Canis lupus familiaris: one gene and its partners. The protein of the gene in region 1 purifies or fractionates together with the protein of each later gene. This does not show direct contact. Links are inferred from orthologs where the notes say so. Each region holds a gene or a part of one and is shown in the gene's direction. Other genes may lie near its edges.

What was found.
Region 2: the proteins of IGF1R (region 1) and ARRB1 purify together in Homo sapiens (affinity purification with western blotting; 3 studies listed by BioGRID and IntAct, with this or other methods). This does not show direct contact. The link is inferred for Canis lupus familiaris from reciprocal best matches to the Homo sapiens genes IGF1R and ARRB1.
Region 3: the proteins of IGF1R (region 1) and RACK1 purify together in Homo sapiens (affinity purification with western blotting; 4 studies listed by BioGRID, with this or other methods). This does not show direct contact. The link is inferred for Canis lupus familiaris from reciprocal best matches to the Homo sapiens genes IGF1R and RACK1.

What each region holds. Positions count from the first base shown.
Region 1 is NC_049224.1:42,428,876-42,436,303, forward strand, and holds part of IGF1R (insulin-like growth factor 1 receptor), read left to right. Parts: intron 1-472; coding exon 473-599; intron 600-2,500; coding exon 2,501-2,739; intron 2,740-5,116; coding exon 5,117-5,284; intron 5,285-5,484; coding exon 5,485-5,689; intron 5,690-7,428. UniProt on the Homo sapiens protein: Receptor tyrosine kinase which mediates actions of insulin-like growth factor 1 (IGF1). Binds IGF1 with high affinity and IGF2 and insulin (INS) with a lower affinity. The activated IGF1R is involved in cell growth and survival control.
Region 2 is NC_049242.1:23,393,611-23,401,038, forward strand, and holds part of ARRB1 (beta-arrestin-1), read left to right. Parts: intron 1-1,975; coding exon 1,976-2,020; intron 2,021-2,787; coding exon 2,788-2,984; intron 2,985-4,485; coding exon 4,486-4,545; intron 4,546-5,368; coding exon 5,369-5,436; intron 5,437-7,428. UniProt on the Homo sapiens protein: Functions in regulating agonist-mediated G-protein coupled receptor (GPCR) signaling by mediating both receptor desensitization and resensitization processes.
Region 3 is NC_049232.1:609,607-617,823, reverse strand, and holds RACK1 (receptor of activated protein C kinase 1), read left to right. Parts: upstream 1-3,392; 5' UTR 3,393-3,512; coding exon 3,513-3,621; intron 3,622-3,905; exon of another isoform or gene 3,906-3,973; intron 3,974-4,562; coding exon 4,563-4,734; intron 4,735-5,036; exon of another isoform or gene 5,037-5,115; intron 5,116-5,274; coding exon 5,275-5,422; intron 5,423-5,636; coding exon 5,637-5,732; intron 5,733-6,151; coding exon 6,152-6,262; intron 6,263-6,697; coding exon 6,698-6,838; intron 6,839-7,210; coding exon 7,211-7,321; intron 7,322-7,646; coding exon 7,647-7,712; 3' UTR 7,713-7,754; downstream 7,755-8,217. UniProt on the Homo sapiens protein: Scaffolding protein involved in the recruitment, assembly and/or regulation of a variety of signaling molecules. Interacts with a wide variety of proteins and plays a role in many cellular processes.

The sequences.
Region 1 (7,428 bases):
CCCCCCTGTGGCACACCTGGTCTGTTAGCCTGTCGTGGCTGGTTCCACAGAACCAGATGGACATCCACAACCACAGGACAGGTGCTATCACAGCACAGAAGATGCAGCCTAGCCTAGAGGCTAATCCTCACCTTCCCTGGTCCCCTGGGTAGCCCGTGTCTTAGGGATCAGCAGAAAGACCCAGTGCCTTGCTCAAGTAGGCAATCCTTTCCTGTCAAGATAGGAGTCATAGATTCAGGTCCTGGGTGACCAAGTGTGCTAAGACAAAGGGACAAGCTCCTTATGGCCCCGTGTGGTAAAGTGTCTGGGTCCTCAATGGAAATAAGAGAGCCAAACTGAGGAGTCCAGGGGGGGACTTAGCACGTACGGACAGCTTTGCAGATGAGGTTAAATAGCGCAGGGCAGGTGACGTGTAAGACATGTAGAGGAAGAGGACCTTGATCTTTGTCACAGATACTGCTTTATACTGCAGGTGAAAGCGACGTCCTGCACTTCACCTCTACGACCACATGGAAGAATCGCATCATCATCACGTGGCACCGTTACCGGCCCCCTGACTACAGGGACCTCATCAGCTTTACTGTCTACTACAAGGAAGCGTGAGTTTCTGTGCTCTGTGGTATCCTGTGGGTGGGGCTGTGGGTGGGGACGCCTGTGCTTCACCCTCAGTCCTCCCTCCCCAGCTGTCACAGGACATCTGTCACTGTGGTGACAACCACAACATCACAGTGTACAGTGTTAGCTTGAGGCCTTTCACTCTTTGTTTTCTTTTTCTTTTTTTGTTTTTTAAGATTTTATTTATTTATTAGAGAGAGAGAGAGAGCATAAGCAGGGGGGAGGGGCAGAGGGAGAGGGAGAAGCAGACTCCCCACTGAACAGAAAGCCCAATGCAGGGCTCCATCCCAGGACCCAGAGATCACGACCTGAGCTGAAGGCAGATGCTTAATTGACTGAGCCACCCAGGCACCTGAGGCCTTTCATTCTTCAGCGGGTCATTAGAAGGGTTTGAATAAAATAATTCCAAAAAGAAAAGCTTGTGTTTTAGAGAATTAGGTTAGTCCAGACATCCATAAAGTGGAATACAGAATGTGTCCACTAACCCCAAGAACTCTAGCTTCCCTAGGGGTGACCCCCAGACAATCTGTCATTTTATTCCTGTCCATAAGCTCTTCCCAAAACCTGCTCCTCTGCTCTAGGTTATGAGCCCTCTGAACCAGGGAAGGAAGAATGGAGGGAGACTGACCTTCATGTTTTTAACCTTTCATGATTTCTCCCAAAATCTGGGGGCTTTTCTTGTGCCTACAGGTGATATCCACCTGCCTCAGCAGGTCTCTCTCTTCCTTTCTTTGCCTCCTTATCCATGTGGTTCCCCCAGTCTCATTAACCACCCTCCTTAACCAGCTCCAATTGTGATTCTGTAGGTCTCTTTCCAAAGTGGTTGGCTTCCCCAGAGCTAGAACCAGAGCCACCAATGGCAGTATCTGGTCCCCTTGCCCCTGCCATAGCCAGGACCCTGGGAAGGGTCATAGGAGTAAAAAAAAGCAGATCTCAGGATTATTGGGTGCTCAGTGTGTTTCTGTGTGGGAGTCATTCATGGTCTTCTGTTATGATGACAGGGAGGGCCATGTTAATATCTGTTTCAGAAGCCAGCGGCTAGGGTCTGTCTGACCCTTTCATCTGATTGATGGAGAACCCCTACCTGCCCAAGAATGTGTGCAAAATATTCTCTCTTTGATGCTTCCACCAGTGCTTTGGCATTTTCACCTGGTAATCTCACCAAGGAGTCAGTGTTAGTTTCAGAGACAATCTGGAAGCTAAATACTTGAATATCATAAAATACTTAAGCAATCACAATTGTTTGCGAGCCATTGAGATTTTGAAAGCTCTATGTTGGAAGCTGTTCTTCTGTAGTAAAAGTCCTTTCTCCCCAAAAGTTTTATTCTTCCTCAGTAGCTAATGTTTGCATTAAATTATTATGCTTATTTTGTTCTTAATGGTGAAAAATGCCACAATTGGAAAAGAGAAAAATAGCATTTGCTTGTATGCTTAAGGAGCTGAGTTTTCAATCCCAGCAACAATTAGAATTTATTTTTCTTGAGGCAGAGTATGCAGTTCTACAGTGTGTTTGTAAATGTGGTGAAACCTGGGGTCCCGTTGCTTAATTTTATCCTTCTGTACAAATCTAATTGACCATGTATTTCTAATTCCCATTATAGAAAGTGTGACGGGACGCCTGGGTGGCTCAGCAATTGAGTGTTTGCCTTTGACTTGGGCATGATCCTGGGGTCTGGGATCAAGTCCCACATTGGGCTCCTGCAGAGAGCCTGCTTCTCCCTCTGCTTATGTCTCTGCCTCTTTCTCTCTGTGTCTCATGAGTACATAAATAAAATATTTTTTTAAAAATAGAAAGTGTGATGTGCTTGGCCCTTGGGAAAGGTTTCTGAGGGTTTTGATGTCAGAGACCTAAAACTTTCTCTGAGTTTCACCCACTGTCTTGCAGACCTTTTAAAAACGTTACGGAGTATGATGGGCAGGATGCCTGTGGCTCCAACAGCTGGAATATGGTAGATGTGGACCTCCCTCCCAACAAGGACGTTGAGCCTGGCATTTTACTGCACGGACTGAAGCCCTGGACGCAGTATGCGGTTTATGTCAAGGCGGTGACCCTCACCATGGTGGAGAATGACCACATCCGTGGGGCTAAGAGTGAAATCTTGTACATTCGCACCAATGCTTCAGGTATCTGCACACCGCCCATCCCATATTCAAGCTCACCATGCTTGCTTATGACAAGTGTAGGCAGAGGGCCAGCAACACATGTGCCTGTTGTTTCTCTTGAACCTGGACCAGTCTGCTTTTTATGTATCTTTCTTACCAATAACTAATGCTCTGTCATACTATTTTTCTCAGTCCCAATACCCTGGGCTCTCCTGGGCCATTTTCTGACCCATCTCCTATCATCTGTCTGCCCTGCACCAGTGAGCCCAGGTCCTCCAGGAGGCTGGGGTGGTTTTTTTCGGAGGACCCCTCCAGGATACAGCCCCCTGTTTTATTTTCATAGCTGAACCTCCAGGAACTGAAAACATGCTAAGTTCGTGTCCCATTTACCTCATGTGGCTACTTGGTTTTCCATCTTCATTCTGTAGGGACCGGGTCCCACGAAGGTAGACAGAATTTGGAAATGTCAGACAGAGTATGTATGTTGTGGACATTCCAGATATTCACTGGTAAAAGTGTTCCTCTTTCTGTCTCTGTCTTCATTTTCTAAACCACCTCATTTTTCTCAACCCCAGAGTCTGGAACTAATGAAAGCAAACGTTTCTGTGTATTAGCTAAGTATATGAAAACCAGCTTAGAGGTAGGAAAATCCACATCATTTCTAAAGACAATGATAAATATCCTTGGATGATAGGGGTTTTTAAAGAATACCCTTAAGGTAGCACAAAACAAGTTTAAATGGTGGAGAGGGTAAAGAAAAAGTGTTTATGGGGAAAACCTTTGGCTCCTGCATGCCTGCTTCTTCCTCCCTTCCTCCATCTCAGGGATCCCATAAGTGGTCACAATCATGTCACAGATCCTAAAGTGTTTATAGAAGTAAATCTGGCACAGGCTTCTGATCCTGGATGTGGGTAGTATAGCAGAGGCTCAAAGGCAACAAAACAAGTTATGCTTCCTAAGGTTTGGAAGTAAATTATTGTTGCCAGCTCAGGAAAAATACGAATCTTTCCTTTTTATGACAAATTCTTTTCTTTCTTTTTTTTTTTTTTTCTTTTTTTTTAAGATCCATTCAGGGGCACCTGGGTGGCTCAGTGGTTGAGTGTCTGCCTTTGGCTCAGGTTGTGATCCCAAGGTCCTGGGATTAAGTCCCATATCAGGCTCCATGCTGGAAGCCTGCTTCTTCCTCTGCCTGTGTCTCTGCCTCTCTCTTTGTGTCTCTCAGGAATAAATAAATAAAGTCTTTAAAAATAATAAAATAAAGATTAATTCATTTACTTTAGAGAGAGAGTGAGCTGAGGGAGAGGGACAGAGAGGGAGAGAGAGAGTCCTCAAGCAGACTCCCCACCAAACAGAGCCCAATGTGGGGCTCGATCTCAGGATCCTGAGACCATGACCTGAGCTAAAATCCAGAGTCAGCTGCCCAACTGACTAAGCCACTCAAGTGCCCCTTATTATATGATGAATTCTTAAACCCATTTCCCTTCCCCAAAGATGGAAAACTAAGCACCATACAAATTGGGCCAGTTCCCTACATTTTGGCCCCTGTCCTTTCAAGTGGCAGAAAGAGAGGAAGGCCCAGTAAGTCCTCTGCTTCAGCTTTTTTGTGATACTTAGACTTGAAACATCGAGGGGTACGCTATTTATTCTTGAGATATTGACTTTGGAAATCTGAAAGTGGCCGAGCATCCCGTGGTTGTTTTTCCTGAAAAATCTGGCATTAGTCACAACTTCTTCCTAAAGCATCACTCCAAACAGGTGTTCAGAATCTTGTGTATGATATTATGGGCCTTAAAGTACCCTCAAGCTCTTTGCCCTTTGAAATTTTAAAAGTGGCTTGGATGGCCATGTTGTGTAAGTGATCTACAGTAAAGAGGTCTCTTTACTCTTTACTTTGGAAAACCCATGAAAATCAGTGTTTTCTTGTGAACCCAAGGAAAATACGATTTCGCTGGTCCTGAGATGTGATTGCCCTTTATACATAAGGCAGCTCTGGGTTTGGGTTTGGGAGGCAGTAGTACATAAAACTTGACCAGATTATTATGCTTTATCTGTAAATCAGTATTCTTTGGCTGCTAACAGAGTCTATTGCTTGCAGCCAAGGCTCTGTGTATGCTTGGGTTTGTGGACTGCTTTTCCTAGTCCTGCCTCATTCATTCTGTGAATGAATGAGGGGATCATGACCTGAGCCAAAGGCAGATGCTCAACCACTGAACCACCTAAGTGCCCCTAAATTAATACGATTTCAAAGAAAGATTTACTTGTCATCTCATGGATCTATGTTCACTGTGTCCTCACCCAGGTCATGCCTGTGGCTTCTTGTTGGTTTGCTATGACTACCTGCCAGCCTGGGTTTTGGGTTCATTCCATGTTCTGAAATGTCCTCTGTTGCTCTCTCCAGTTCCTTCCATTCCCCTGGATGTTCTTTCTGCATCAAACTCCTCTTCTCAGCTCATTGTGAAGTGGAACCCACCCTCTCTGCCCAACGGTAACCTCAGTTACTACATCGTGAGGTGGCAGCGGCAGCCCCAGGACAGTTACCTTTACCGCCACAACTACTGCTCCAAAGGTGAGTGGGAGGGATAGAAGCGAGGGGGCTTGGGACCAAACCCCAGCATCCGAATGGATCCAGGCCCCAATGTAACATGCGGCCCCTTGTCAGAACTCGGCTACATTCTCCACTGAGTGTGCTGGTGGCGACCCCTTTTCCTCCCCAGCACATACAACCTATTGATTTCTATTCCTGCTGGGCTTGTCTTTCCTGAGTAGATAAAATCCCCATCAGGAAGTATGCTGATGGCACTATCGATGTCGAAGAGGTGACAGAGAATCCCAAGACCGAAGTATGTGGTGGAGAGAAGGGGCCTTGCTGTGCCTGCCCCAAAACTGAGGCCGAGAAGCAGGCTGAGAAGGAGGAGGCCGAGTACCGCAAAGTGTTCGAGAATTTCCTGCACAACTCCATCTTCGTGCCCAGGTACCACTGCCATTTGAGAACATCTCCAGGCTGCTAGTCCTCAGGCAGGTTCCGTTGCTTTGTCCCCACTCAGGGGGGTTTATAGGTCAGCAGCCTCCTGGCAGAACCTATGGCCATCAGGGGAAGGACCAACAAAACAAGGTATCAGCTTGGTTGAGTGAGGTAGGGGCTGTGGAAGCCGGTTAGCCCTGACGGAGGGGCCGCCCCAGCCACACAGCCTCCCGCAGAGGCAGGTGGGCTCTCAGCTGTGGGGACAGGTAAGTGAAACTTGGAGAGGCTCACACCCTCAGACACCAGTGAATGGAGGGCCCTTTCTGTCCATCGCACCACTCTTCCCTGCTGCCTCTCAAAGCCAGGCTGAGAAGTGAAGCCAGAGTGAGTTTTGTAAGTGCCCCAACCTCCAAGCACAACCAGGTGCCACAGGCATCCCTGACACACACGTTTGAGGAGCAGCGTAGAGGACAGCCTTTCAGGGTAAAGCGGTCTCTGTCCCCAGGAATCCATCTGCTCCCCTGCCCCAGTCCCCGTTTCCACTAAGTGAGGACAAAAATGGAGGAAGGTAAATATGCAAAGCCGCACTATTCACAGTAGCCAAAGCTGGGAGCAACCCACGTGTCCATCAGTAGATGAATGGATAGGCAAAATATGATCTATCCACGCAATGGAATATTACCCAACCATGGAAAGGAATGAGATTCTGACAAGGGGCACAACTTGGATGGACCTTGAAAACATTATGCTAAGTGAAAGAAGCCAGACACAAAAGGAGCAGATATTATAGGATTCCACACATATGAGGCATCTACCAGAGGCCAATTTGTGACAGAAGGTGCATTCGAGGTTTCCAGGGGCTAGGGGGCTGGGAGGGAGAAACGGGGAGTTTGGCTTTAACGAGTCTAAGAGCTTCTGTTTGAGGCAATGAAAGATTTTGGAAACAGTGATGATGGTGATTACATCATGAATATAATCAATGCCACTGAATTATACACTTGAAAATGGCCAAAATGGCAAGATGTGGGTATTTTTTTTATTCAAAAATTTTATTTTACCACAATAAGAAATGGTTTAAAAAAAACATGGAGGGGAGTCCAGCAGGGTAGCCCTGCAATGTCTGGGGAAGGAGATGGAAACAGAGTGGTGGTCCTTGTTTCCTTTTTCCTCCTGAAAGATTATAGTGTGGCGTTTACAAACAGCCTCTTGCCTGAAACGTGAGCGGAGGAACTGGACTCTGTTGCATCTACATGCTGCTGGCTCCTACGGCGTCCCAGCCACCTGCCCACTGCCCAGCATGTTCTATGATCACTGTCCTTCCTGCCCCTGCCCCTGAGAGGCACCAGAAGTCTGTAACTTCTTTTTATTCTGTAATAACTTTGCCCTTAAAGGCTTACTTAGATTGTAACAACGAATGGCTTTTAAAGTGATTTTTTTCCCATCAAGTGACCTTTCTGATATTTGTGTAATAGTCAAAGATAGCCATTGTACTTTGAAAAGTCCTTAAGAAGTGAAGACCTCTTAGAGTTGCAAGCATTCTTTTCAGAACATAGCTCTTCGTTGCTTAGTGCCTTTCTGCCCCTTTTCTCCTCTCTAGGAGTCTGAAGGTGTGAGAGCCCACCATAGGTCCTCCCCACCTGCTCCACTGGAGACATCTCCTTATAGGGCTGCAGATCAAGTGTTAGCCTAGATTGTGTGTCATGTGTGGTTCCAAGAATAAGAGCATTTGAGGAGCTCAAAGATGTGTA
Region 2 (7,428 bases), on another chromosome or scaffold:
AGGTGAAGAAACTAGATGTGTTGCATGGGGAACATTCACAGAGAATGTGGCCTGTCATGTATCCCCGGGAGCTGTCCTAGGGCCAGAAGGCAGAAGTGAATGTGTGGTTCTGGAGCCGAGGTGGGAGCAGAGAGCACAGCTGGCAGGTTTGGGGTCACTGGGAGGGGGAGACCTTTGTGACAGTGGGAACAGGAGAACTGGGGAGTCCCCGGGGTCCTTCTGCTGAAGGGGTATGTGTAGAGCTGCGGGCTGCAGAGCATCAGCTGCCCATTAGGCCCTCCCTTCCTGGCCTGGAGTAGGACAACCCCACCTTTCCTCCCCTGTGCTGTCTGGGAGGAACACCAGTTTGCCTGGTTTGCCTACGACCTGCTACAAGGCACAGTTTCCTGCAGACTATCTGGGGTCAGGCTCTGTCCCTATCCATTGGCCTATCAAGGACAGCAGTGGGGGTGACACAGAGGCTGGGGGCGGGAGCAGGAGGGAATCAGCTCCTCCACCACACACCGGCACCCTGAGAGCTGTTTAGTCAGTGTTCACAGAGCACCTACTTTGAGCCAGGCCCTGGGGATCCCAGGGAGCTCTGAGGTCACTGTCGAGAGTTGATCAAATGACACAGAGAGAAACACCTTGCCCATCACAACAGTGAGCTGATTGTGAATTCCCAATGCTTAACTATCTGCCATGGTTCCCTTTTGGGCTCCGGGGCAAGCGCACGCCCCCAGTCTTGCAGACAGGACACTGTGAGTCAGGCCTGGCCCTGCTTCCTCTACCACCCCCAGGATCTACACGCTTCCCCCTGTCCGCTTGCGCTGTCCCTTGGTCATCTAACCGGTGACCCGTACTTCTCCTTTAAGACCTGCCCACTGCTTCTGTCCCCCAGGAAGCCTTCCCTGACATCTCCGGTTGGGGAATTGCCCTTTTCCCCCTACTTTGTACAGAGACCTTGGGTGCTCAGGCACAGAGGAAACACCCACAGAAGAAAGAGGGAAGATGGGCACGTTCTGCGGTGGGGCAGACACCCCTGGCCGAGTATCCCTTGGGCCTGCCCAGGACTGGATGGGACCAGGAGCCCTCTAACACTCCCTTCCAGGGGCAGCCTCTGACATTCCCTGAGAGATTGCTATGGGGGCAGCATGGATGTAGGGGGAGGGTGGCAGTGGGTGAGAGTTGAGGAGAGAATTTTGCTTGTTCAGTGGGTATGGCTGGGTGAAGTATGGCCAGAGGTGACCGGGGATGTCAAGGCAAGGAGCCTGTATTTCCAGTTTCCTGGGATCCCACAGGGAGAAAATGTCCTTTGTGTCTAGCTGGACTCCGCACTGCCACGGCCAGGCCCGGGGACATTCTCTGTAGAGTCCCATGAACCGGGCACCATCTCAGCTTTAAACATATTAACTCAGTTGGTCTTCACGGGAGGCCTGGGAGGTCGGTTCTGTAGGATCACAACTCCTGATGGCAAATCCCAAATCCAAGAAACTCTAGAAGTCTAAACTTACTGGTAAGTTTGATGTAGGATTCATTTAGTGACAAAACCTGACCTGAACTATAGGAAGCTCTTTATACTTTAGCCTCTTTGTGAAAAGATTCATGTTTCCCTGCTGAGGTGTTAATGGGTTTGATCATGGGGCACTGCCCCAGATCCTTCAGAGGGTGTTACAGAATATATGGAAGATGTACCACATGGCCTTTTAGAATCTCGAAATTCTAAAGTACACCTGCTCGTAGGGGTTTGGGACCCATATTGGTGTTTTTATTAACAGGGAAGAAACAGACCAGTTGCCAGCTGGGTCTGTAGGGCCGCCTGAGGGTAGGGGCTGGGGCATGGCAGTGCCTTCCTACGGGTGCTGGCCTCCCCTATTTCTCTCATGAGGCTTGTCCACAGACAGATGGTGAGGTCAGGCCTGGCTTGGTGTTTGGGGCTCAAGAATTTGAGAGGTCAAGTTGGGAGGGTCTGCTTACTCTCTTGTCCTTCTTCCAGATGGCGTGGTCCTGGTGGATCCTGAGTATCTCAAGGAGAGGAGAGGTGAGGAAGTGGTCCCCACCTCTGGGCTGTGAGGGGGCCTCCTATTCCCTACTGACCTCTAGCCCAGGGCCTCCATGAGTCCCAGACATGACACCAACTAATTTTAAGGCCTTTCCCTGCCCAGCCCCACTGGCTCTTCCCTTCGCCTGGGCAGCCCACCTATGCCTATTATAGGAGAACCTTTTCAATTCCCTGAGCACTCACATCAATATATCATGACTTTCGCAAGGCCGGGGATGCCCATTAGGGCAGGAATTAGAGTCTCATTATAGGAGAGAAAATTGAATCCCAGGGAGGTGAAGGGCTTGTCCAAGGTCAGCAGGAAGATGTGGGGTGGGGGTTGGGCTAGGAGAGGACCCCACACCTTCTAGACACCACCCAGCACTTGTTTCCCTCTCCCTCTGCTCTCTCCAGCCACATCACTTCCCCAGCCCCACCTGCCCTCCACCCCGGTCCTACCAGCCTTCTCCAGCCCTCACCAACCCTGTCAGACCATCTCCTGTGCTCCCCACACTGGCCAGAGTGGGGCATGGGAAAGGACAGAACTGATCCAGCAGTCAGCCCTCACCTCCCCCTAGGGGCCAGGTCTGAGTGGTTCTCCTGGGTACCCAGTACCCCCATCCCGAGGGCTGCACAGCCTTCCCACACAGGAGCTTTGGGACAGACCTTTGAGCTCCAGTTGGGCCAATCCCAGGGCTCAGCTGGTGCTCTTGGGGGCTTGTTTGCTGCCCTCTTGGGCTCATCCTCCATGCCCCCTGCTCCCACAGTCTACGTGACACTGACCTGCGCCTTCCGCTATGGCCGGGAGGACCTGGATGTCCTGGGCCTGACGTTTCGCAAGGATCTGTTTGTGGCCAACGTGCAGTCCTTCCCGCCAGCCCCTGAGGACAAGAAGCCCCTGACACGGCTGCAGGAGCGCCTCATCAAGAAGCTGGGCGAGCATGCCTATCCTTTCACCTTTGAGGTTAGGGACTGCCAACTGCACCACCAGTAGGAAGCCCTGTGGGCAAGCACATGGGGACAGCTGGGGCAGCAGCTCCATGTCACTCAATTTCTCAGTGTACATTGGGACCTGGGGCACTGTCACTTATACTTCCTGGTAAGTGTCTCTTCTCTGGCCACTGCCAGGGGTGTCACCTTACCTCTGAGCTACTCCTTGGACCCTCCCGAGTCCAGCTCGTGGCGGGAGAGAGCCGGGTGGGCAGAGGCTGCAGAGAAAGAAGGAGCCCTTTCTCACCTCTGAATTACTACAGGACTGTCTCCTCCCTCAGACCAGCTGCCCGCATGCCCAGCTTCGGCCCAGCTCCAGCTGAGCTCCAGCGCAGCTCATTAATGAGGGATGGCATGTAGTGATTTCCCTGCTCTGCCACTTTTCCAAATGGAAAGACTCCCAGATTCTGGATTTTAAAACTTCCTGTTTCTCAGACTCTGATTCTGTGATTCAGTGAAATCCCCTGGCTTTCTGGGAAACCAGAGGAGAGACATTACAGTCATCCTGTCCATGGCAGATGTATTGGTTTCCTGTGGCTGCTGTAACAAACAAGCTGCTGCCAACCTGGTGGGAATTAAATGTGACCATTAAAACACAAGTTTCTGACCTTACAGTTTTGGAGGTTACAAGTCAAAACAAACAAACAAACAAACAAACAAACAAACAAAAAAACAGGTTGCACTGGGCTAAAATCAAAGTGTCAGCAGGGCTGTATTCTTTCTGGAGGCTCTAGGCCTTGCCTTTTCCAGCTTCTAGAAACTGCTTGTGTTCCCTAGCTTGAAGCCTACCCCTCTGTCTTCAAAGCCAGCAATGGCTGGTCAGTCTTTCTTGCAGCCCACCACTTTGACACCGACTCTTCTGTTTCCTGCTTTCCCTGCTAAGGTCCATTGTGATTACATCGGGCACACCTGGATAACTCGGGCTACTCTCCCCATCTCAAGAGTTTTAACTTAATCACACCTGTAAAATCCCCTTTGCCAAGTAAGGTAGCAGTTGAAGGTTCTGGGGATTAGAAGGTGGGCACCTTTGAGGGGGTGGGGGGGCTTGTTCTGCCTACTACAATCTAGGCAGAACACTTTATTTTAATTTTTTTTTTAAGATTTTATTTATTCATGACAGACACACAGAGGCAGAGACACAGCAGAGGGAGAAGCAGGCTCCATGCAGGGAGCCCAATGCGGGACTCGATCCCCAGACCCCAGAATCCCAACCTTAGCCGAAGGCAGACAGTCAACCACTGAGCCACCCAGATGCCCCTAGGCAAAATCCTTTAGATAAAGAAAAGCACTGAAATCCTTGGCTTTACTGGAGGGCTTCTGGCCCAGTGTGGGGCATCCTTGGCATGGTCTGATGGGGGAGACATGGCCTGTTGCTAGGGCCCCCTGGTCTGATAAATGTGTGTGGGGGTGGTGGGTGGGCAACATGAGGAGCTCAATGGTCAATGTGACAGGAGACCTGTCTGTCCTCTTAACAGATCCCTCCAAACCTCCCGTGCTCTGTGACATTGCAGCCAGGGCCTGAAGACACGGGGAAGGTGGGTCACGTCTCTGGAAGCCTCTCTCCGGGTAAAGGACATTTGTATCCCCAGGGCCCTGGCTTTCTGAGAGGCATCGGAACTCTGTGTGGAAGCCTCCCTGTGTGGAAGCCACTTCAACACTGCCTCAGATAAGCCGGCTCTTTTCATACAGGGCAGCAGGCAGATAGGGTGTCATCCTCACCCCCGCATTCCATTACATGCAGTCTCTCCTGGGCTTACTGTTGGCTGCAGCAGAACCAAAATGTTCTCTGGACTACCTCTTGGCCTCACAACCTTGCATGGGGGTCCATTCACTGTGGTCTCACAAGTGGAGAAATGGAGGCTCCAAGAGAAGTGACACTACTAGTGTCACAGGCCCCAGATCTCTGAGCCCCCTTGTCTTCACCTGCAAAATGGAGATGAGAGGCTATGCCTCCTCCTGCAGTTTAGAGGGTGGAGTGAGCCACCAGAGCACTGTTGGGTCTGCACATAGTCTGTGCTCCCCTCCTAGGACTGCTGAGCACCCCCATTGTTATTGCCGAGTGGCTGCCTTAATGAGGACAGCTGCCCAGACCAGGCAGGTGTCTGCAGGGTGGAGCCCAGTTAGGGCAGTTTGGGACACCCAGTGTTGGGGGAGCTAGGGGAGCTCTGTGGGAAGGCCAGGTGGGGTTGGGGTGCAGCACAGCACTGGGGCTGAGGCCGATCACAGGGTCCTGAATCAGGCTGAGGGGCGGTTGGCCTGTGAAGTTTGCTATTCCCCTCCAGGGTCCTGGTTTGTAAAATAAGAGGGTGGGATGGCTGTGCTGTCGGGACCCTGTGGTCAGCAGCCCCTTCTCCTCAGGCCTGTGGTGTGGACTACGAGGTCAAAGCCTTCTGTGCCGAGAACCTGGAGGAAAAGATCCACAAGCGGTGAGAAGGGCACAGCTTCCGCTGGGTGTGGGCTGCCTACTGGCAGAGGGAGAGAGACAAGACCAGCAAAGTCAGAGAAGAGATAAGTAACAATACCTGGAAGTGTGTGAGGAGGGGCCGCATATTCCAGCCCCAGAAACTCCAAGAAGGGCCCTCTGGAAGGCTGGCAAGTCCTGGAGGGGTTCCTGGAGAAAGTGGCTCAACTGTCTGGGGCTTAGGGCTCAGGCCTCAGGCCTCAGGATTTCTCCCTTTACAATGCTGAACCTGCCTCCTCCATCACCCTGCTTCAAGTCTTGCCCCATGAGACTGCATGTTTTTATTTTATTTTGGAAAGAAACACAAAATTTGGATCATTTTAAAGAGTGAGCAAGAGTTTTTTCCAGCCACCCTGAACCCCTACTTCCTACTTCTCCTGGGAAGCCATCAGCAGCAGGTGGTAGTGGGGGCGGCAGTGGGGTGTGGGATGGGTCAGCCCACGTGTCAGAAGAGGTAGTGTTCTCTAGAGAGGCACAGCCCTGGGCAGACAGTCCAGACTGGCAGCTGGAAACAGCTGGACCTGACTTCTGAGATAGACTGCCCAGCCCTGCTCTCGTGCCTGTTCCTCCTCAAGGCAGGCCCTGCCCTGTCTTCTGGCGAGGAGGCGAGGCTGGCCTCAGCCCCCCACTCTGATGCACCCTGCCTCCCCAGGCAGCCGCCCGCATTCCTACCGAGCCTGGCTGAGGGTGGCTGAGGGAGGGCACTGCGGCTTCTTAGGGAGTGGGCTGAGTTTGCCACCTGGCGGCTGAAGAGCGTATTGAGCATCTCCATCTCCAGCCCAGGCAACTCCAAGGTGTGGGGAGATGGGACCCTTCTCCCTGGCTTCTCTGTCTTCCTTTTCTTCTTCAGACCTGAGACCAGGGGAAAGATAGGGGTTCGTGGGTTTTTGAAGGGGGCCTGACCGGAGCAAGGAAGAGGAACGACACTGAGGGCCACTGCCTTCACCCTATGCCAGTGTGACATTTTAAGTCCACATCAGAGATACTACTGATAATGATATAGCAGCTATCGTTTATGAAGGGCCTATTAAGGACCAGACACTATTCAGGGTGGTGAACATGTAGGAACTAATTTAATCCTCTCAGCAACCCTGGGAGGTAGGTGTTGCTACTGTTGCCATTTTACAGATGAGGAAACTGAGATCCAGGGGTGAATTTTCTCAAGGGCATATAGTTAGTAAGGGGCAAGCTCAGACCTTCAGCCTGGCTGTCCAGTTCTAGGGGGTGCAGGTGAGAAATGGGGATGCTGGCACACCCAGCACATCGCAGGCACTGCCTCACCAGATCCCATCCCCTCCCAATCCTTGTATCCTCGTTTCTTCCCTAAGCCCCTGTCCCTTTCACTGAGTCCCATCTCATCTCTGGGCCTCCATCTATTCACTGGGTCCCCATCCTTGTCACTGGCCTACATCCCCCTGATTGAATCCACACCCCCTCACTGAACCCCGTCACCTCTCTGAGCCCCCACCTTTTCATGGGGTCCCTCTGCAGATTTTGATTTAATAGATATTTGGAAGGCATTTGTTATATGGCAGGCACTGTCATAGATGTTGAAAACACAGCAGTGAACAATTGAGATAAAAATTTTGCTCCTTAAGGAGCTTACACTATTAAGTAAAGTAAGGGATGTGGGAAGTGAAACATAGTTCCTTTCTCGCCATCCTGCTGGCTGCCAAGGCACAGATCCACATGAGGGACTGCCATGGGGTGGTTCAGCTCCGCTGGTGTGGGAGTTAAGACCGGGACAAGATCAAGTGAGCTGATCCAGGAAGGTTTCCTGGAAGAGGAGGTATTTAGCTGGGTCCTGAAGAAGGAAATAAATGAGGGTAGAAGCAGGAGGAGAGTATTGCAGGCGGGGGTCCGGTGTAAGCAAAGCTGCAGAGACAGGACGAGATGAACCACTGAGGATGATAGTGAGGAAGTGGGGGTGGCTGTGTACACAATGGGGGAGGATGGA
Region 3 (8,217 bases), on another chromosome or scaffold:
GAATGGGGAGAGCCAGCGTAGCCATAAAAGGAGTATGGTGCCAACCATACTGAATCTACAGAGGAACAGCAAAATGAAGGGAAGACACTTGCTTTAGCTGACAGAGGCCCTGTAGTCTTGGCCGCAACCTTTTCCCTCAGCCCCTCACCTATCACCCACAACAGTACTCATCACTTCATTCAAGGGAAGACCTGTCTCACCTCCTGAATGCTGGCAGGAGGGAACAGAGGCCTCTGTTCCTAGAAGAGGTCATGGGCCTCTAGCAGGGAAACCAGAGGGGCTTCTCCCCGCTGTGCTGATCTTAGGGATTCCCAGCAGAAAAGGAATGGTGAGACAGACTTCCTTAGAAAAGAATCTCCAAATTCTCTTTTGGGATGTTTACCTTGTGTGGGAATGGAAGTGCTGCCAGTGGGGACATGGGAGAGGACAGGCAGCCCAGAGGACAGGCTGCCAGTGGGGACAGAGGAGAGGACAGGCAGCCCAGGGCATGGGACCAGTGGGTGGGGAACATACGAGAGGGGTGGCCTGGGGAGCTGAAAGAAGGCTCTGCAGAGTAACTTTCCCCAATTTCACCCAAGGTCAGGTGGAGCCCTCCAACAGATTTCTGCCTCCTAGAGGGAAAGATCAAAGACCCAGGATGAAAAGGCCCAAAGGCCGGACCCAGGCCTGCTTGGGCAGGCAGCAGACTACTGTGGAAAGCACAGGCTTATTCTTAGGATGCGTCTAGCAGCCAAGAGAAGTCAGCCCCCTGGAAAGGGCCAGGCTTGAGGAGTCCAGGTGGGTCCACATGCCTAGCAGGGAGCCTTGGGGCCCCAAACGGAAGCAGGCATGTATGGGGCTCAACTCCAGCTTGGGCTGAGAGGGAAAGGCTGCTGCTACATGCCATCCCTGCCCCTAGCTATACCCAAAGTGTCCCCAGAGTCAGGGTCAGGCCTCCCTCAATTCATGAATACCCCTCAGTGGTTTTGTGGCTTGCCAGAATCTTCTCCAAGAGAGGAGAGACCAGGTGGTGATGATTGGAGAAAAACTCCAAGGTGGAAAAGCCCAAATCCTACAGTCTGGTCATCTGGGAACTCCACTATATTCCATTTCTCCCTCTCCTCTGCTGACATTGCCAGATGGGTATTGGTGGGTTCCAGGGGAAAACCCGAGATTCCCCCCCTTGGCCCCAGAGGAGGGGGCACTGCCAGGGGCCGGTACAGGGAGACGCCCATGGAATTGCGGGAGGCCAAAGACACCTACAGAAATCTTGGTCTCTGTGGCCAGAGGACTCTGGGAAAGGGCTGCGCAGAGGTGAGCCTGGGGAGGACGAGGCTAGCCGAGGAACGGCCCCCTCTGGAAAGGGGCCTGGTGGTGACGAAAGGTCGAGTCCTTGAGCATGCGTGAGAGACCTGGGAGGCTTGTTTTAAACCTGTCCTCCTGGCCCTCTTTCAGAGATGTTGATTCCACAGGGGCTCCTTAGCAAAATTCAAGAATACAGAGAGCCAAATGAGATTTCTCGAGAGGAGTAAATATAATATGACTAACCAAGGATCTCTTGGGTGAAGGCAGGAGATGAAGGAACGCGTATTCTTGAACTGAGAGGAAATCCTCTGCATGTACAGGCCAACACAGGGGAGTGTTTGCTCTGTGCATTTCCACAGCGTGGAAATCTCTCACCTCTCTATTTGTCCCAACCGCCCAGGGCACTGGCACGACCCGAGCTATGAACAGTGAACTGGATACTGGTGTGGGTGAAAGTAAGGGTCTCCCATTACCAAAACAGGTCAGGGTTGGGGTCGACTTCGAGTTTAGTGTTAGAAGAAAAAGACAGCTAATTGGGGGTGCTACGGAGGCATTTAAATGACCTTCGCAACTGGAGCCCTTGAAGCCTACTCAGAACAGCAACCACCCTGAGGAGCCATGTTCTTTCCCCCAGACTGCGGGCCCTCTGTCAGCTGCCCCTCACGCCTATCTCACTGTTCGGTTTTCAGCACTTCCAACACCTCCAGGATGTTTTGCACTGAGCATCCCTGCCCCCAGAACCTTATCCTCCCGTGTATCCACAGGGCTGTCTCCTTCTTCGTCTCTTTGCTCCAATTTCCTTCCCCCTCACTCCATCAAATGTAAACTCCAAAAAAACCTGGTCCTCACCCCCCTCTTGCTCACAGCTGTATCCCTCAAGACCTAAAACAGGGCCTGGTACCCAAGAGGTGCTAAGTTTGCCTGCATTTATTCTGCCAAGCATTGTTCTGGGCCCTTTACCTACCATAACTCATTTACTCTTTTCAACACCATTTTGGGTGGGTACTATTATTTCCAACCTCATTTCACAGATATGAAACTAAAATTAATACATGTTACAAACAGAAAATAAATACTTATTATGTATAATTCCCCCCCCCCTTATTTTGCTTAGATGATAGCGAATGGTACCACCCTGGTACCTCTCCCCCTTCAAAAAATATGTGACAGGAGCGCTGCCTGCCAGCATCGTCTCTCAGTTATCAAGGAGGCACTACATATTCACGTACCATGCGGCTAAACAGGAGGCCGGTAGGCAACCTGGGAACCCTGATCCACGGTGTCCCAGGCAGGTGGAACCTCCTTAGGGGCACGTCTGGACTCCCCAGACCCGCAGACCTGCCTGAGAGGCGGTGAGGCTCAGAGCCCGCTTTCACTCGAGACCCGTAAGTCAGAACCCGGAGGCCTTTGCTCTCGGGGTCTCTGTCTCTGCGTCGGCTCTCCGCGCTCCTGCCCAGGTGGGAGCCGGGGACGGACATGCAGCCCACGGGCCGATTGTTCGTTCCTCCCCGGTTTTCCGCTCCGTAACCTGTTCCTGTGTTTACTTCTGCCTGGACTAGGTCCTTCCGGACAGGGAGTGCCTCAGCCAATTCCCTCAAAGCAAAAACCTCTCCAGGGAGGAGTTGCCCTCTGCGAAGGAAATCAGTCAGAGTTTACTGGTTCACCTAAGTACAGTGTATTTCAAAAACTGAATACCATATTTTTCATATTCCTTACCGTTACTGGCAGTTCTCACCTCGAAATTGAGCTCCCTCAGCCTGGCCCTCCAGACCACCAAGCGGAAAAGGCAGGGCTCGCGCTGTGCCACGTGGGGGCAGGGAAGGCGCCGGACGTTCCTTATGGGAACATGCTGTCTGTGCCCGTCCCCTCTTCGTCTTCTTATACATCACGCCTCAGTGGATGTTTGAGGGGCCTTTTTAAACACCTGGTGGAGTTGGTTTCAGAATGACTTGGCATGGCACTGCCAAATTATGTTGCATGGCGGAGGCGACCATAAAGTTTTGCCATTTCATCTCGCCTTTTGACTTACGAGGCGCCGCCATCTTAGGCAGGAGTGAATAACGGGGGCCGCCATTTTTGCTCGAACGGGAGGGTATTTCCGGTTCCGGCGGGGACCTTTTCCTTCTTTTCCTCTGGAGGGCCTTGTCGGGAGCGGCTGTGCTGCTAGTCCTTCTGAACTATCCATCTCCATCCTTGTCGCCGCGGCGACACTCGCTCTCGCCGCCGCTATGACTGAGCAGATGACACTTCGTGGCACCCTCAAGGGCCATAATGGCTGGGTGACTCAGATCGCCACCACTCCCCAATTCCCAGACATGATACTGTCTGCTTCTCGAGGTACGGGCTAAGGTGCGGGGCAAAGGATTGAGGGATAAGTGGGTTGCGCGTGTCGCTTGGCGACTTGGAATACTCCGTCCGGGTGTGAGTTGGGGCATGCGGACCCGGGCCACGGCCTCCGCTTGGATAAACCCGCGAACCATCCCCGCTTGGCAGAGACGGAGACCTAGGTCAGCTCGTGGTCGCCAGGAGGATTGCAGGGTTGGGGTTTTATTTCTTGCCCATCTTCTCGCAGATGTGTGTAGGTGTGTAGCTGAGTGTGCTCAGGAGATACGGGGTCGGGCGGAGCGGTGATGATGCCAACATGCCATCTGAGTACCTGTGCTGAGAACCAGAGGCTGTTTCTGAGCTTACGCCCGGCCCGTGCTTAGTGGATAGACTGCAAGAACTCCCCTCGTTTCTTTTCATTCACTGAACCTGGCAGCATTCGGAGGCTTCTTGTGCCTTTTGCTGGCCCCCACACTATTAAAAAATAGTCTGAGGCCAGGATCATGTTTGGAGAGTAATTGGAAAACTTGTTGTTACTAACACGTTTCAGTGAAAGCATCCAGTCAGGTAGGATGTAAAGCAATTTTTCCGAATGCAGCCATTAGTGATTGTAGGAATCCCACAGCCAAGCAGCAGTGTTTATGCTTTAGACCTCAGATCAGACTCCAAGAATTGAATTGATCTGTCAGAAAGGGGCATCCATAATATGCTAAAGTTCTGCACACCAGAGTTTAATTTTCATGGCATTGCTTAGTTCTACTTGAATCTTTTTTGAATAGCCAATCACCTTGGCCTTGACTAGTAACAGCTCACACCCTGTAGTTCTTCCCCCTTGAGAGTCCTTAATTTGTTACCTTTTAAGTCCACCGATGACACTGAGGGATCCTGGATTATCCAGTAGGTCAGCAAGTGGGCTGTTAACTCACTGAGTTTTCTTTTTTACCTCTCCTTAGATAAGACGATCATCATGTGGAAGCTGACTAGGGATGAGACTAACTATGGCATCCCACAGCGTGCTCTTCGGGGTCATTCCCACTTTGTTAGTGACGTGGTCATCTCCTCAGATGGCCAGTTTGCCCTCTCAGGCTCCTGGGATGGAACCCTTCGTCTCTGGGATCTCACAACGCAAGTAGCTGCTCATTTAACTCTGGGACACTGGGCAAAGGCTAGGCAAAAATGAGGTAGATGCTGTTGGGCGGTGGTTTCCAAGGGAGATTGAGGTTCATTGTGGGTACTTAAGGCAAGAAAGTACCTAGAAAAGGTAGTTGGGATTGTTTGGCTTCTATCCTTGCTGGTTTAATTAGTTATGCAGAATTGTTAGAGGAGTGGGCTGGTTGAGTTTTACCACATACTGTGGTTGGGAGTAGGCAAGTGTTGAACATGTTTTATCTTGGGAGCTCAGTACTTGGATGGCCGGGCATAATGAGCATCCCAGTGATGACAGATGACATTGTCAGCCAATCCCTACGTGGGAGTGAGGACATGTCCTGCAATTCTGAAGGGATACTCTCATATATGCTCAACCATGGGCCTGTTGTGATCAGACCTATGTCCAGGGTCATGTGAGTAATGGCAGCTCCAGTGAGACAGGAACAGACCAGGGAAACATTCTGATGTGGAAGAGTGTTTGAGGCATCTAGAGACTGACCACGTCCTCCTCCTCAGGGGTACCACCACACGCAGATTTGTAGGACATACCAAGGATGTGCTGAGTGTGGCCTTCTCCTCCGACAACCGGCAAATTGTTTCTGGGTCGCGAGATAAAACTATCAAGCTATGGAATACCCTGGGTGTATGCAAGTACACCGTACAGGTAACTGAAGGCACATGTAGAAACTTCTCTCCCACCCTTCTTAACCTTGGCTTTAAGGTGATTTTAAGCCTGGCCTGGACTCTATAAAGGGAGCTCTTGATATTAATGGTTTGGGTTCTAGGGTTGTGAACACTTCCATGTAACTGAGGGAAGGTGAGGTTCTGGTTTCATGGAGACAGGATACTTTCTCTAATTTCTTTTCCATCCTCTGCAGGACGAGAGCCATTCAGAGTGGGTGTCTTGTGTCCGATTTTCACCTAATAGCAGCAATCCCATCATTGTCTCCTGTGGTTGGGACAAGTTGGTCAAGGTGAGCTTGGAGCCAGGGTATAGGGCCTTCACCAGCCAGAATGTTCTCCCACTGCCTCTCAGGTGGTCATAGGATCTAAGTTTGAAAGCTTTGTCCCTCGGTTCACTTTTCCTGTTGCACTCTTCTAAGTACAGGCCAGTGGTTTTTGATATTTGGTCTGAAGTAGCTCATGAAGCCCAGTGTCCCTCATAAAGCAACACATAGAACATTTGTTACCTTTTTTAATCTTGATTGTCCCTTAGGTGACCAAGACAAATTCTTTTTAACATTTTTGTTACTGATAGAATGAAAAATGGTCACCCTGTCCTGGAATGCTTTTAAATTAAGTAAATCGTGCCTTTTTTGTCCTGAGCAGTCCTGACCCCAGTTGGTTCAGAGCCAGATTCTTCACCTTTTACCCTCCACCTTACCAAACCTAGGTATGGAACCTGGCAAACTGCAAGCTGAAGACCAATCACATCGGCCACACGGGCTACTTGAACACCGTGACCGTCTCTCCGGATGGATCTCTCTGTGCTTCTGGAGGGAAGGTATTCAGAAACTGGGAGTTTACTACTCAGTGAGGGACTGTTTTAAAAAGATATTTAAGATATTGAGGTAGCAACCAAGAATAAATATCTTAAGATTGCTTCCTGGAAATGACATAGATAAGGCATACTGTTTTAAAGAAAAAGATTGTTTTCAGTAAAGCTGGTTTCTTGAAACTGTTCTTTTCAGAACTGATTGTTCTTTTCAGAACTGATTTATTTAGAAGTTGTCAGAGACATCGTAGGGTTGGTGAGGTGCCCTGCATTAAAGGAAAGGCATTCAGAGATAAATATTGGTATTTGAATCATTCATTAGTTTTTGGGAAGTTTGCGGGGGAAGGGGGACTGTTAAGTAATAAAAAAAATTTTTGAGGCAGTTAAGATTAACAACTGCAATGGGTTTCATATTGCCCTGACTCACCTTTCCTGTCTTCCCAGGATGGCCAAGCCATGCTGTGGGATCTCAATGAAGGCAAGCACCTTTATACACTTGATGGTGGAGACATCATCAATGCCCTATGCTTCAGTCCTAACCGATACTGGCTATGTGCTGCCACGGGCCCCAGCATCAAGATCTGGGTGAGTGTGGGCTACAGTTAAGGCTGAACACCTGGCTGTACTCTCTGAGTCCTGGTAATGTTGTGATTTCCTGATCTGTCACTGCTGGGATTTGAGCTTTCTGAATACCTGCTAACCATGCGGCTAGCAGTGGAGATCCAGGAAGAGCAAGGTAACAGCTTTCCAAGACTGGGATCTGCAGTGGTGGCAGACACTTGTCTACTAAGGGGGATGACAACTTACTCAACTTCAGCACAAGTTGATCTAGACTGTTCTGGGGGCAGGGGGAGGCATTCCTGTATTTTAGGCTGTTCAGTAACATACTCAGCCTCTACTCCCAACTGGATGCCTGTAGCAGAGTCCCTCCTTATCCTGATTTTGCCCATTCCCCAGGACTTGGAAGGCAAGATCATTGTAGATGAACTAAAGCAAGAAGTTATCAGTACCAGCAGCAAGGCAGAGCCACCCCAGTGTACCTCTCTGGCCTGGTCTGCTGATGGCCAGGTAAGTGAGTCTCTGAAGTGACTTGGCTTCTACCTTTTCTCTCTTCCTTTATTCTTGGTGTGTCTTTGACATAAAGTAAAGTGATAAAATTAGCCAGGTTGATTTGGGAGGACCAGATTAACTGTCAGTGAACAGAGTACATGTTCTGGCATTGGAAGGAAAATTGATCGATCTAGCAGTGATTATTAATTACCTTCTCTTGGAATACATACCACCTACAACCTGATGGTTCAAGGATTGGTGATCTTAAAAGGCCATCTTTTTACTAGAAATGCAGAGTTCTGTGACTCTGACATGACCTGTCGCTGTCCTTTCTCCCTTGCAGACTCTGTTTGCTGGCTACACCGACAACCTGGTGCGTGTGTGGCAGGTGACCATCGGCACCCGCTAGAAATGATGGCAGAACTTTAGGAATAAAACATTGGTTTTCTGACTTGTTTGTTTTTCTCTGATAAGCTACCTTCTAATGCTGTATTGCATCACAATGACTTGTGTCTCAGGTATAAATCCTCTAAGCTTGCAGAAAATGTTCTTTAGGAATCGTAAAACCTCAGTTCTAGCTTTATGACATAAATAATTGAACAGATAATTCCTCAAAGCAGTATTATAAAACACAGTATTTTGAACTCTTAATCACACCTGGCTTTTGCTCAAGTGGTAGCTATCTAAGTAATATACTTTTGAAATAGCCTATAGAGATCTTCCATTTCCATTTCCTTCAATTTTATCATGGTATTTCAGCAAGATACAATCTCAGATTTGGGAAATGTCAAGAGTCTTAGGAAAACTGTAGTCCTAAAGCCTCAGAGCATTAATATACACAAAACAGCAATGATCAGCAGATGATCTTCAACTGTATCCTGAAGAGGGAGGGTGCCAATTAAAAAACTGGGTCA